2 linked regions of the Sus scrofa genome follow. The protein of the gene in region 1 purifies or fractionates together with the protein of each later gene. This does not show direct contact. Links are inferred from orthologs where the notes say so. Each region holds a gene or a part of one and is shown on either strand. Other genes may lie near its edges. The genes, in order: VASP and PFN1.

What was found.
Region 2: the proteins of VASP (region 1) and PFN1 purify together in Homo sapiens (affinity purification with western blotting; 3 studies listed by BioGRID and IntAct, with this or other methods). This does not show direct contact. The link is inferred for Sus scrofa from reciprocal best matches to the Homo sapiens genes VASP and PFN1.

Annotation. Positions count from the first base shown.
Region 1 is NC_010448.4:51,871,922-51,876,474, reverse strand, and holds the start of VASP (vasodilator-stimulated phosphoprotein), read right to left. Parts: upstream 2,801-4,553; 5' UTR 2,477-2,800; coding exon of another isoform or gene 2,472-2,476; intron 1,701-2,471; exon of another isoform or gene 1,398-1,700; intron 1,091-1,397; exon of another isoform or gene 997-1,090; intron 1-996. UniProt on the Homo sapiens protein: Ena/VASP proteins are actin-associated proteins involved in a range of processes dependent on cytoskeleton remodeling and cell polarity such as axon guidance, lamellipodial and filopodial dynamics, platelet activation and cell migration.
Region 2 is NC_010454.4:51,961,070-51,965,659, reverse strand, and holds PFN1 (profilin-1), read right to left. Parts: upstream 3,019-4,590; 5' UTR 2,819-3,018; coding exon 2,687-2,818; intron 1,223-2,686; coding exon 1,030-1,222; intron 454-1,029; coding exon 356-453; 3' UTR 90-355; downstream 1-89. UniProt on the Homo sapiens protein: Binds to actin and affects the structure of the cytoskeleton. At high concentrations, profilin prevents the polymerization of actin, whereas it enhances it at low concentrations. By binding to PIP2, it inhibits the formation of IP3 and DG.

The sequences.
Region 1 (4,553 bases):
CAAACTACAAATCTTTCCCATCTGGGAGGTGGGACAGTCATAATAGTATCAATCTCTTAGAACTGCTAGGAGGATCAAATTGAATCTAGGCACCCTAGTACAGTACCTGGCACACAGTACATGCTTGATCAAATGGTCTCTTACTTTTAAAAAAACATAAATTAAAATAATAATAATAATTACAAGTATTGGAAGACGAAAAAAATGGTCCAAGTTTTTCTTGAGCCCCTTCTGCCCTGAGATTCTCAGACCTCTGCCCCACTTCCCAGCCTTCCCAGAATCCCAGCTCAGAATCCCGGACACAGCAGACACTCAACAAATATTTGTCAAACCAAGAGAAAAAGAACTGTATCTTGTAATTTTCCATCTCAACATCCTCCCTTCCAACTGCCCCCAAGACTGTCCCCAGCCAAACCAGCCAGAAGTCAGAGGAGCCCAGCCCCCTCCCCTTCCTCAGTAGTGCTTAGGAATTTCTGAGCGATCTTGGGCCAGGTCTTTCTCTCTTTGAGCCTCAGTTTCCCCAGCTGCCCCCCACCCCCATACAGGGGCATGGGTCCTTTGGAATCCTGGCAGGGGGAGAAGGGGCCCGGCCCAGGAAGTCGGGTGTGGTCACAGGCAGGGAAGACCCCTCTCGAGGTGGGAGTAACCCTCTGGTGGGACAGGCCTCGGCTCGACTTCTGCCCACCCCCCAGGAGGTGGGAGGTTTGGCCGAGGCCAGCAGTCGGGGGCCTTGCGGGAGGGCGAGGGCCTCCGGGACTGGGGGAGGGGGGCGGGAGGCCCAGACATTGCTCCTGCCCTTTTACGGTCTCAGTGAGTGAGGCAGCACTAACTCGGACATCCGCCATCCGCCTTCCACGGTGCCTGGGACCGGAAACGCGGCGGGGGGGGGGGGGAGGCAAGGGGCGGGGCTGGGGGGCTGGGGGAGAGGAGAGTCCCCCGGGGAGGAAGGTGAAGGAACGGAGCCTGGCTCCCGAAACCTGCCCCCTCGGGGCGTACCTTGAAGGGATGTTGCTGTGAGCAGGGGCAGGCTAGGCAGGAAGTCTCGTGCGGGTCTGCGGGTGCTCCCTTGCTCCAAATTTTCCAACAATCCCTTTACCGCAGAAGGAACAAACGTGGGAATGGGGGTTCTCTGATGGCCGTAAAAAGCAATGCCACCCTGATGTGAGAGGGCAGGGGTACGGGGAATGTGGGGGAAGTGGGAGGATGTGGGCAGCAGGGGGTTAATCCCCAGCCGTCCTCGGGGCCTCCCCCTCAACCTGGGGGCTCTGGGGCAGGAAGTCCCTGCGAGAGTAGAGGAAGGGAGGTAGTATTGTCAGGCTCAAGGGAGAGATTATGGGGGGCCAGGGGGAGGGGAGAATAGGGGGGCCTAGTCGGGTCCCCCAGCCAACACCGGCCCCGCCCTCAGGTGAGCCCAGGAGTTTTGAACGAAGCCCAGGAAAGACAAAATCCCTGGGTGCCTTGGGCCCCCGGTCCCCAGGATTAAATTCCTGGGAAGATAGCTAGAACTCTTTGGGAAGCCCGGCTCCCAGGGGAAGAGGGCTATGACCTTGAAGCTTCCCAACGCCCCCTCCAACAACCGCACAACTCCGGACCGCTGGGGAAGGGGGGGCGATGTGGAGAGAAGGGGGAGGCGCTGTGGTGGGGAAAGCAGCCGGCCCACGGCGCTCCTTGCCCGCCCCCCACACCAGCTGTCTCGACAGGTGAGTCAGGAAGACAAAGGCCCCCCTTCCCCCAGCTGCCGCGCCCCCTCCCTCCCAAGGGCCCGCGCAGGTGGGAAAAGGGGCTGCCCCTCTGGCACGGGGCCGGGGTGCCGCCCTCGGCCCTAGGCACAGCCCGTTTTAAGCAAATTGTGAGTGGGAAGCGGCGGGGAGTCCGAACCAGATCCTCGAGGCTGCATCTGGGTCGGTGGATCTGTCCGCACCAGCCTCCTCCACAGGAGGACGAGAACCCCTAAATTTAGGGGGTTAAGAGCCCTCGAAGTTAAGGGGCAAAGTCCTCTTGGGAAGACGTTTCCCGGCACCATGTAAAGAGGGACCCCGAAAGCCAAGATCTTCGTTTCAATCTCTCTTCCAGGTCCCAGGGACCTCCAAACTGGCCCCCCCATAATCTCTCCTGGGGCCGGCTAAGATTTGGGGGGAGTCTGAGCCCTGCCTAAATCCCAGCCTCCCGGCCGGGAGTACCTAACAACTTAGAAGTCCTCCGAAAAAGTCTTTTAAAAATTCGGGAGTCCTCGGAGCGCCCCCAAATCTGAGGGCTCCCGGGAGAACCTCACCGGCACCACCCGGAGCCTTGGGAATCAAGGGAAAGTGATCAATATTTGGAGCCCGTCCAAGGGGGATCGGCCTCAAATTCGAGGCTCCCAGTGCCCTGTCCCTAAATTCCAGCCCGGAGCAAGCTGGGGGGAGGGGGACAAAGGCGGGGCGGGATCCCGCGCCGGGCAGGGAAGGGTCTAGAGGCAGTTCGAGGCTCACCTCATGGCTGCTCGGCTGGCGGGCGGAGCGCCCACGGGGTAGGTGCTCCCGGGGCGCCCCTGGCTCGAGGTTCAGGGGTTCGGGGCTGGCTCCAGGTTCTGCTCAGTCTCCCCCAGGGTCCCGCCCCATAGAGTCCGGCTTCCTGGGGGGAACGTGGACAGGGCCGGCGCGGATCCTCAGGCGCCTCCTCCCTTTGGGGAGCTGATCCGGGGTCCTTGCGGCAGAAAGGGGGTGCGGCGTCCCCTCCCCGGCGCGCCCCCTCAGCTGGCGGCGGCTACAATGTTACTCTTACTACTGTACTTCTCTTCGCTACATTTCGTTCCAAAATTCCACTCCCCGCACCCACAATGCCCTGCGCCTTAAAGGGGCCGCGGACACCTCCAGGCTGTGGGATTGGAGGGTGGAGGGTGCTTAAAAGGGCAACGCGGAACCTTAGACTTCCGCTATTTCCCTCTTCCCCAACGTTATTGCACAGCGATGCACTCTGGGGAGTCACCCCCAAATTAGGGGGGCAAGCTTGTTGGGGGGGAAGGGATCCTTCCTTCATCCTTAGTTCTCTCTCATGATAGAAATTCTCTGGGGACTCTCAGTGGGGGCACAATCTCTTCTCACCCTCCCCATCGACTTCTCCATTTCTTTACATTCTACTCAGTGTGGGGGGCGAGAAGGACCCTCTGGTTAAGCATAGATTCAAATTTTCTCCCTTAAATCCTACCTTCGGACCTCCCCCAACGTCTCTCTCCTCCGCCCGTTTATGAAGCTCTACTAAGGGGTGCACCCCCCCCTCCGAGGAGGGGGATGGGTGAGGAGGGGCCCCACCTCCTTCGTTGCCGCCCCCCCCACCGCGCCCGCCCAGGGAAGGTGAGGAGGAAGTGGGCCGAGGGGGCGCGGCTGGCCGCTGACTCACAGCCGCAGGGTGTGGGGGGGGGCGGGGGGAGGGGAGGTGCGGTGCAGGACCTGAGTGGGAATGGGACTCCTGGTCCCGCTGCGAATAAGGCCCACGACCCCCTCCCCACGCACTCCCCGCCGTGACTCAGTTTCGTCGGCGGATGATGGCGGGATCATCCAACAATCCGAGGACACGGAGGTGGGGGGACTCTCCCTAGCGCCTGATCCCGCGAGCCCCCACCCCCACGCGCCAGCTTGGGGCTGAGTCCCTACACCCTTCCCGGGCGTCCGCAGCGGGTCCCTCAGGCTCCGCCCCACGTGACGTCACCAACACGGTCATGCCCCTCCCGTAGAGCGCCACCTGGCCTGGGTTAGATGCCCTAGGCTGGTGTGGGAGCCTGGGAAATCATCAGTTCCACTTTTCGAAATGGGTAAACTGAGGTCTGGAGGCAGGTTGTAAGTATGGGCTCAGCATTCTTGCCTGAGCCTCCTAAAACTCCACTGGTGCCTGGGTGCAAGGTATGCGTGTAAAACAAACAGCTCAGGGCAGAGCCGAGGAGGTGAGGAAGTTAACCTTCCCAGCCTTTTTCCAAGCTGAATCTGCTGCCTGGGTGCCGTCCTGACCTTCACGTCATTTCTAGGCTGTGCTCTGTCGTTAAACCTTCTCTGAAGAATGGAGTGATCCTCTTCCCTTTTCCACTTCACTCTGGGAGACCTTGAACCCCGATCTACGGTAGGATACAGTTGTTTTGGTGTGTTTCCTCAGGCTGTGGGTTCTTTGTGGACAGAGGCAAACTTGATGGCTTTCTGGGTCTTACTAACCCAGCAAAGCAGCTCAACACACATGTACCCAACTGCATGAGAACCCCAGTTCTGTGTGACCGCCGGCAAGTCCTTTCTCTTTTCTAGGTCTCAGCTTTCCCATCTGTGAAATGGAAGGGGTGTCACTTCTGTGTGGCCACCTGGACTAGAGTCAGCAAACTTTTTTTTTTCTTTTTTCATTTCTGGCCCAGGCAGCAGCATGAGGAAGTTTCCAGGCCAGGGATTGAAGCTAAGCCACAGCAGTAACCAGAGCCACAGCAATGATAGCGCTGGGTCCTTAACCCACTAAGCCGCCAGGGAACTCAGCAACCTTTTTCTATAATCATCCAAATAGTATATATTTTAGGCATATTAGGCATAAGCTCTCTTTTG
Region 2 (4,590 bases), on another chromosome or scaffold:
CCTCAACCCTAACCCCAAGCCAGAATGGAGGAGGCAGGTCATGGTGGCTGTCCTCCGTCCTGATACCCAGGCTAAAACCACACAGCACCTTGTTAGAATCTTTTTTTATTCAGAAAAAAAAAAAAAAAAAAAAAAAAAAACCCAAAAAACAAAAAAAGTTTTCCAACCACACACAGGAAAGGGTATGGGTTGGGGGAGGTGTCTGTCCATCCAGCCCTGGCCCCCAATCCACGTGGTTTTGGCAGCAATAAGGGGTGTGGGGTAATGGCCCAAAAAATAAAAATGGTGGATGTGTGTGTGTGGGAAGGAGAGGGGTGCAAAAGCAGTGGGGAGTGAAGGGGAGGGACAGACGAGGTCAGTACTGGGAACGCCGCAGGTGGGAAGCCATTTCATAACATTTCTTGTTGATCATACCACCGTGGACACCTTCTTTGCCCATCAGCAGGACTAGCGCTGGAGGAAAGAGAAAGGAGGCTAGGACCCAGGTGTCACAATCCCACTCCCGCCAGCTGTTCAGCAGCTGTCCAGCCCTGGGGGCTGTAACCCAACCTCATCTTTCCCAACCCCCCACACACAGGCAGGCTGTCAGTCACCCTGAAACAATAGGGCTTTTCAAAAGGGGAAAATCAAGCTTAAAGGCTGGAAAGGAACACAGTAAAATTTAGGGGTCAAAGGCTCGCAGACAGTTGACTCATGTGTTCAGGCTAGAAATGGCTGTGGATGAGCCTGCCACCTCCAAGTTTTAACAAAGAGCCCCAAAGACAAGAGCTCAAGTGCCGACTTAGAACTAACAGCCTACCTCCTCCAAGAAAACCAGAGAGTTTCCCAGCTAAAAAGACTCAAGGCAAGAAGGAACTTAAGAGGTAATACAGTTCAACTTCTTTCTAAGATGAGGAACTGAGACAGAACTAGAGGGACAATCCAGCGTCCCAGGCCTGATCCCTTCATACTGGGGAATCCACAAAGAAAACCCGAAAGATTAGCAGAAGGAGGTCCATTAGGGAAAGGGCAAAAAACTCAGAAACTCACTCTTGGCAGTCATGGTGACAGTGATATTGAAGGTGGGGGCTCCGCCAGTGCTCTTGGTACGAAGATCCATGGTAAATTCCCCGTCCTGCAGCAGTGAGTCCCGGATCACAGAGCATTTCTGGCCCCCAAGCGTTAGCCCATTCACGAAAAAACTTGACCGGTCTTTGCCAACCAGGACACCAACCTCAGCTGGCTGGAAGGGGAACCAAGCACCATCAAGTTAGTCAGTACCCCAAGGTTCCCACCTTCTCCAAGGACCCACCTGCCTTCCATTTCTTCAGGAAGCTAACCCCCCTGGGAGGGGTGTATGTTATGTGCTTTGTACACACCAGTGAAATTTGAGCAACTCAGGACTGTCGGAAGTTCGTGCACAAAAAGATCATGATCCTCAAACTTAGGAGAATGGTAACAGAAAGGGACGACATATTCCCCTGGAGACTTAGATGTCATTTCTTGGGAAAGCAAACCCAGGAAATAAAGGGGGCCAAAAAGGAGTGAGGAGAGTGGAGTGGAATGGACTGGAGAGCCTTTGGATGCTCAGAAGTCTCCTTCAGGAAAAGCAGAAGCGAAGAGGGGAAGGGAGGGGGCGGGCGAAGCAGGAGAAGCAACTTTGCCCTTATTTGGTCAAAGGTTCTACAGGAGTTGTTAGGGGCCCGGACGCCTGGGTCTCTAAGTAACCTTGAGTTCAGGTCCAGGTATCTGTGCTCTAAGAGGAGGAAGCAAGATGTCTGGGGGCATTCCGGGAAAGTTGAAAAACTTTTGGAGGGGGCCTGGGGCTAGACCCAGCAAGCCAGCTCTCGGGTCTTGATACCCCAGGGAAACTCTCTCCCCTCCCCCTTACACCCCAAATCCCCACATCCGGTCCCCTCCCGCCCGGAAATCCCCTTCCCCCCCTTTCGAACTTCCGCTCCCCCTCCCCACTTCCGGGCAGTGTGGACTGGGGAGGTGGTGAGGGGACAGCAGAAGTCATCCCTTACTCCTTCACTGATAATTCAGTCCTAGAACTTCTCACAAAGTTCCCCTGCTCCAGGCCCCGCCGGATGGCGGGAAGGGAGGGCGAGGGGACTTCCGGGATCGGTCTCACAGGAATGTTGAGTCTAACGTGCCGACTGCGGGGGGGCGGAGGGCGTGAGGCGGCCTAGCCCTCTCTAACGGAGCTGGGAGGGGCAGGGAGCGCAGAGGACGGGCATGGGACCTTGGCCACGCGAGCCGGGCTCCCACCGCATAAGGAGGAACAATGGTGGAGGGGGCGCGAGCAGGCGGGCGGAAGTGGAGCTCAGGGTCCAGGGGTCCCCGAGTCCCTTCTCAATCACAATCCCGGGTTGAAACTGCAGCGTGTGCCCGCCCCGCCCTGGAGGAGACGGAAGTGGGCCGCCGCACCGGGCGGCGCGCCCCTCCCCGCCCTGTGCCCCGGATGTAACGCCCCGTCTCGGAGAGCGGGGCCGGCGGGCTGGCCGGGCGCCGCCGCCCGGGACGTACGACTCGGGGGGCCCCGGGACGGACCGGCTCACGTGCAGCCACCATTCGCGCCACTTCCAGGGCCAGGAGCGACCACGGCTTTTCGCTGCGCTCTCCAGAGCGTGCCCGCCCCCACCCAAGTCCCTCCCTCAGGGTCCAAGCCCGGCCAGTTCCCCAGACCCCGCAGGCCTCGCAGTACCGTGATGTTGACGAAGGTTTTCCCGGGGACGGCGGCCCAGACGGAGGGCGAGTCCTTATAGCCCACGATGGCCGCGTCCTGACAGGTCCCGTCCGCCATGAGGTTGTCGATGTAGGCGTTCCACCCGGCCATGGCGCTGCTACTGGGGCTGCTCTCGGGGCTACTGCTGGGGCCGCGGGTTGGGCTCGGGCTGCCTCGGACTGGCGGGCGGGGGAAGGCAGAGAGCTTGGGGCACGCGCTGCCGTCCGGACCGCGGCTCTGCTAGCTGTGCAGCAGCCCTCGCACCGCCACTTCCTGCTCCTCCCCACCCCCCTAGATTTTTATTTGCAAAGGGCGGTGGGGGCGGGGCCTACTCCTCATCCCCTCCCTCCTCCTTCTCGCCTGCCCAGATACCGAACTTTGCAAATGCAATTTAAAAAATCCCTCCCCCTATTGCAAAATTTGCCGAGTTCGATGGGAACCGACGCTGAAAGGATGGGAGGCGGGGGGGTTAGAGTTGGGGCTCGCGCCAATTTGCATAGAATATTAGACTTTGGTGTAGGGAAAGAGAGTGAGCCAGAGGGAGGAAGGAAAGTGAACGGAGAAAGAACTAGCGAGCTGCAAATTTAGCAGATTAAGAGGGTTCGGGGAACTCAGGGTTAAACGGAACGACTCCCCCTTCCCCCACCTCTGCTGTGGGGTTGCGGGGGGAGGAACGGCAGGCGGCGGCAGCGCGTGCGCCCGCGCCTGCGCCGGGGCAGAGAGCGAGAGCGCGTGGGGCGGTTAGGGCCGGCCGCCGGCTTCGCGGGCGCGCGCCGGGGCGCGCCGGGCCGGGCCGAATTGGACCCCCAGCGAAGGAAGGCGGGCCGGGGACGTGTCTGCTGCTGGGCGGAAGGGGCGGGGGTGAGGCGCGCACGTTACCGCTTCTGCACTCTTGATTTTATTTATTCAAGAAATAAAGGCAGTAAAGGGAAATTTGACAAAATACCCCGACCATTTTCCAAGTTGAAGGCGCCCACCGGGGACACTTCTGTCCTCAGCATCTGCACGGCGGCATAAGTTGCACTCGCTGGAGCCCACCCGACTCCACGGGGATTATCCCTCGCGCTGGATCAGCTCCAGCCTTAGGCCTCACTCCATGACTGTGCCCCGGTCAGCAGTTTGGGTCGCCGTCCGTCCCCCTTACCCTGTCTCTGCAGAGGTCACTGAGCCTCGGCGCCCGCGGGGCGCGGCGGGCGGGCCTATTTTTCAAGGCGGAAGAATACTAGGGTTTCAACATGCAACTTTTTCAAGAAGAGGAAAGTCCCTTCTACCCTGGCCCCCTGGGCCTTTTTCCTCTTCTTTTTTCAGTAAAACTTATGCTAAGAAATTGTGTGCGAAGAGTTCGTTCGCCGCCCGCTGGGAAGCGGGTGGGGTTAGGACCCGGCTTAGGTGAACCAGCCCCGGCTGGCCGCCGGGTCCGCTGAGGGGCTTGGCCGCTTCCGGTCCCTCGGGGGAGGGGCGCCTCCCGGGCGTGAAGGGGCTTCGTACCTTCCCCGTCCCCCCCAGAGGGGTGCGGTGCTCCCGAGGCCGCTGCGAACCCTAAAGGCACCCGCCGCCCCCCGAGCCTGGTTCCTCGACAGCCGCCGTGGCTGAGTCACTGGCCGGCCCGGGCGGGGCCGCACGCGGGCACGTGGCGGCGCTCCCCGCCCGCCGTCTCCTGACCTCTGGCCTGCCGCACCCCCTACCCCAGGGTGGAAATCTCCCGAGAGGGAGCGGCCAGAGATAAGGGGGGGGTGAGATGGAAGACGGGAGTAGGGATCCTGGGGTGGGGGCTGGGAGACCGACCCCGCAGGGCAGGCGGGGTGGGGAGGAGAGCTCGGGAAAGGGCCGGGGGTGAGTCACCAGGCGCTGGCCGCTCCGGCGCCTGCGGGAAGGACCTCCGA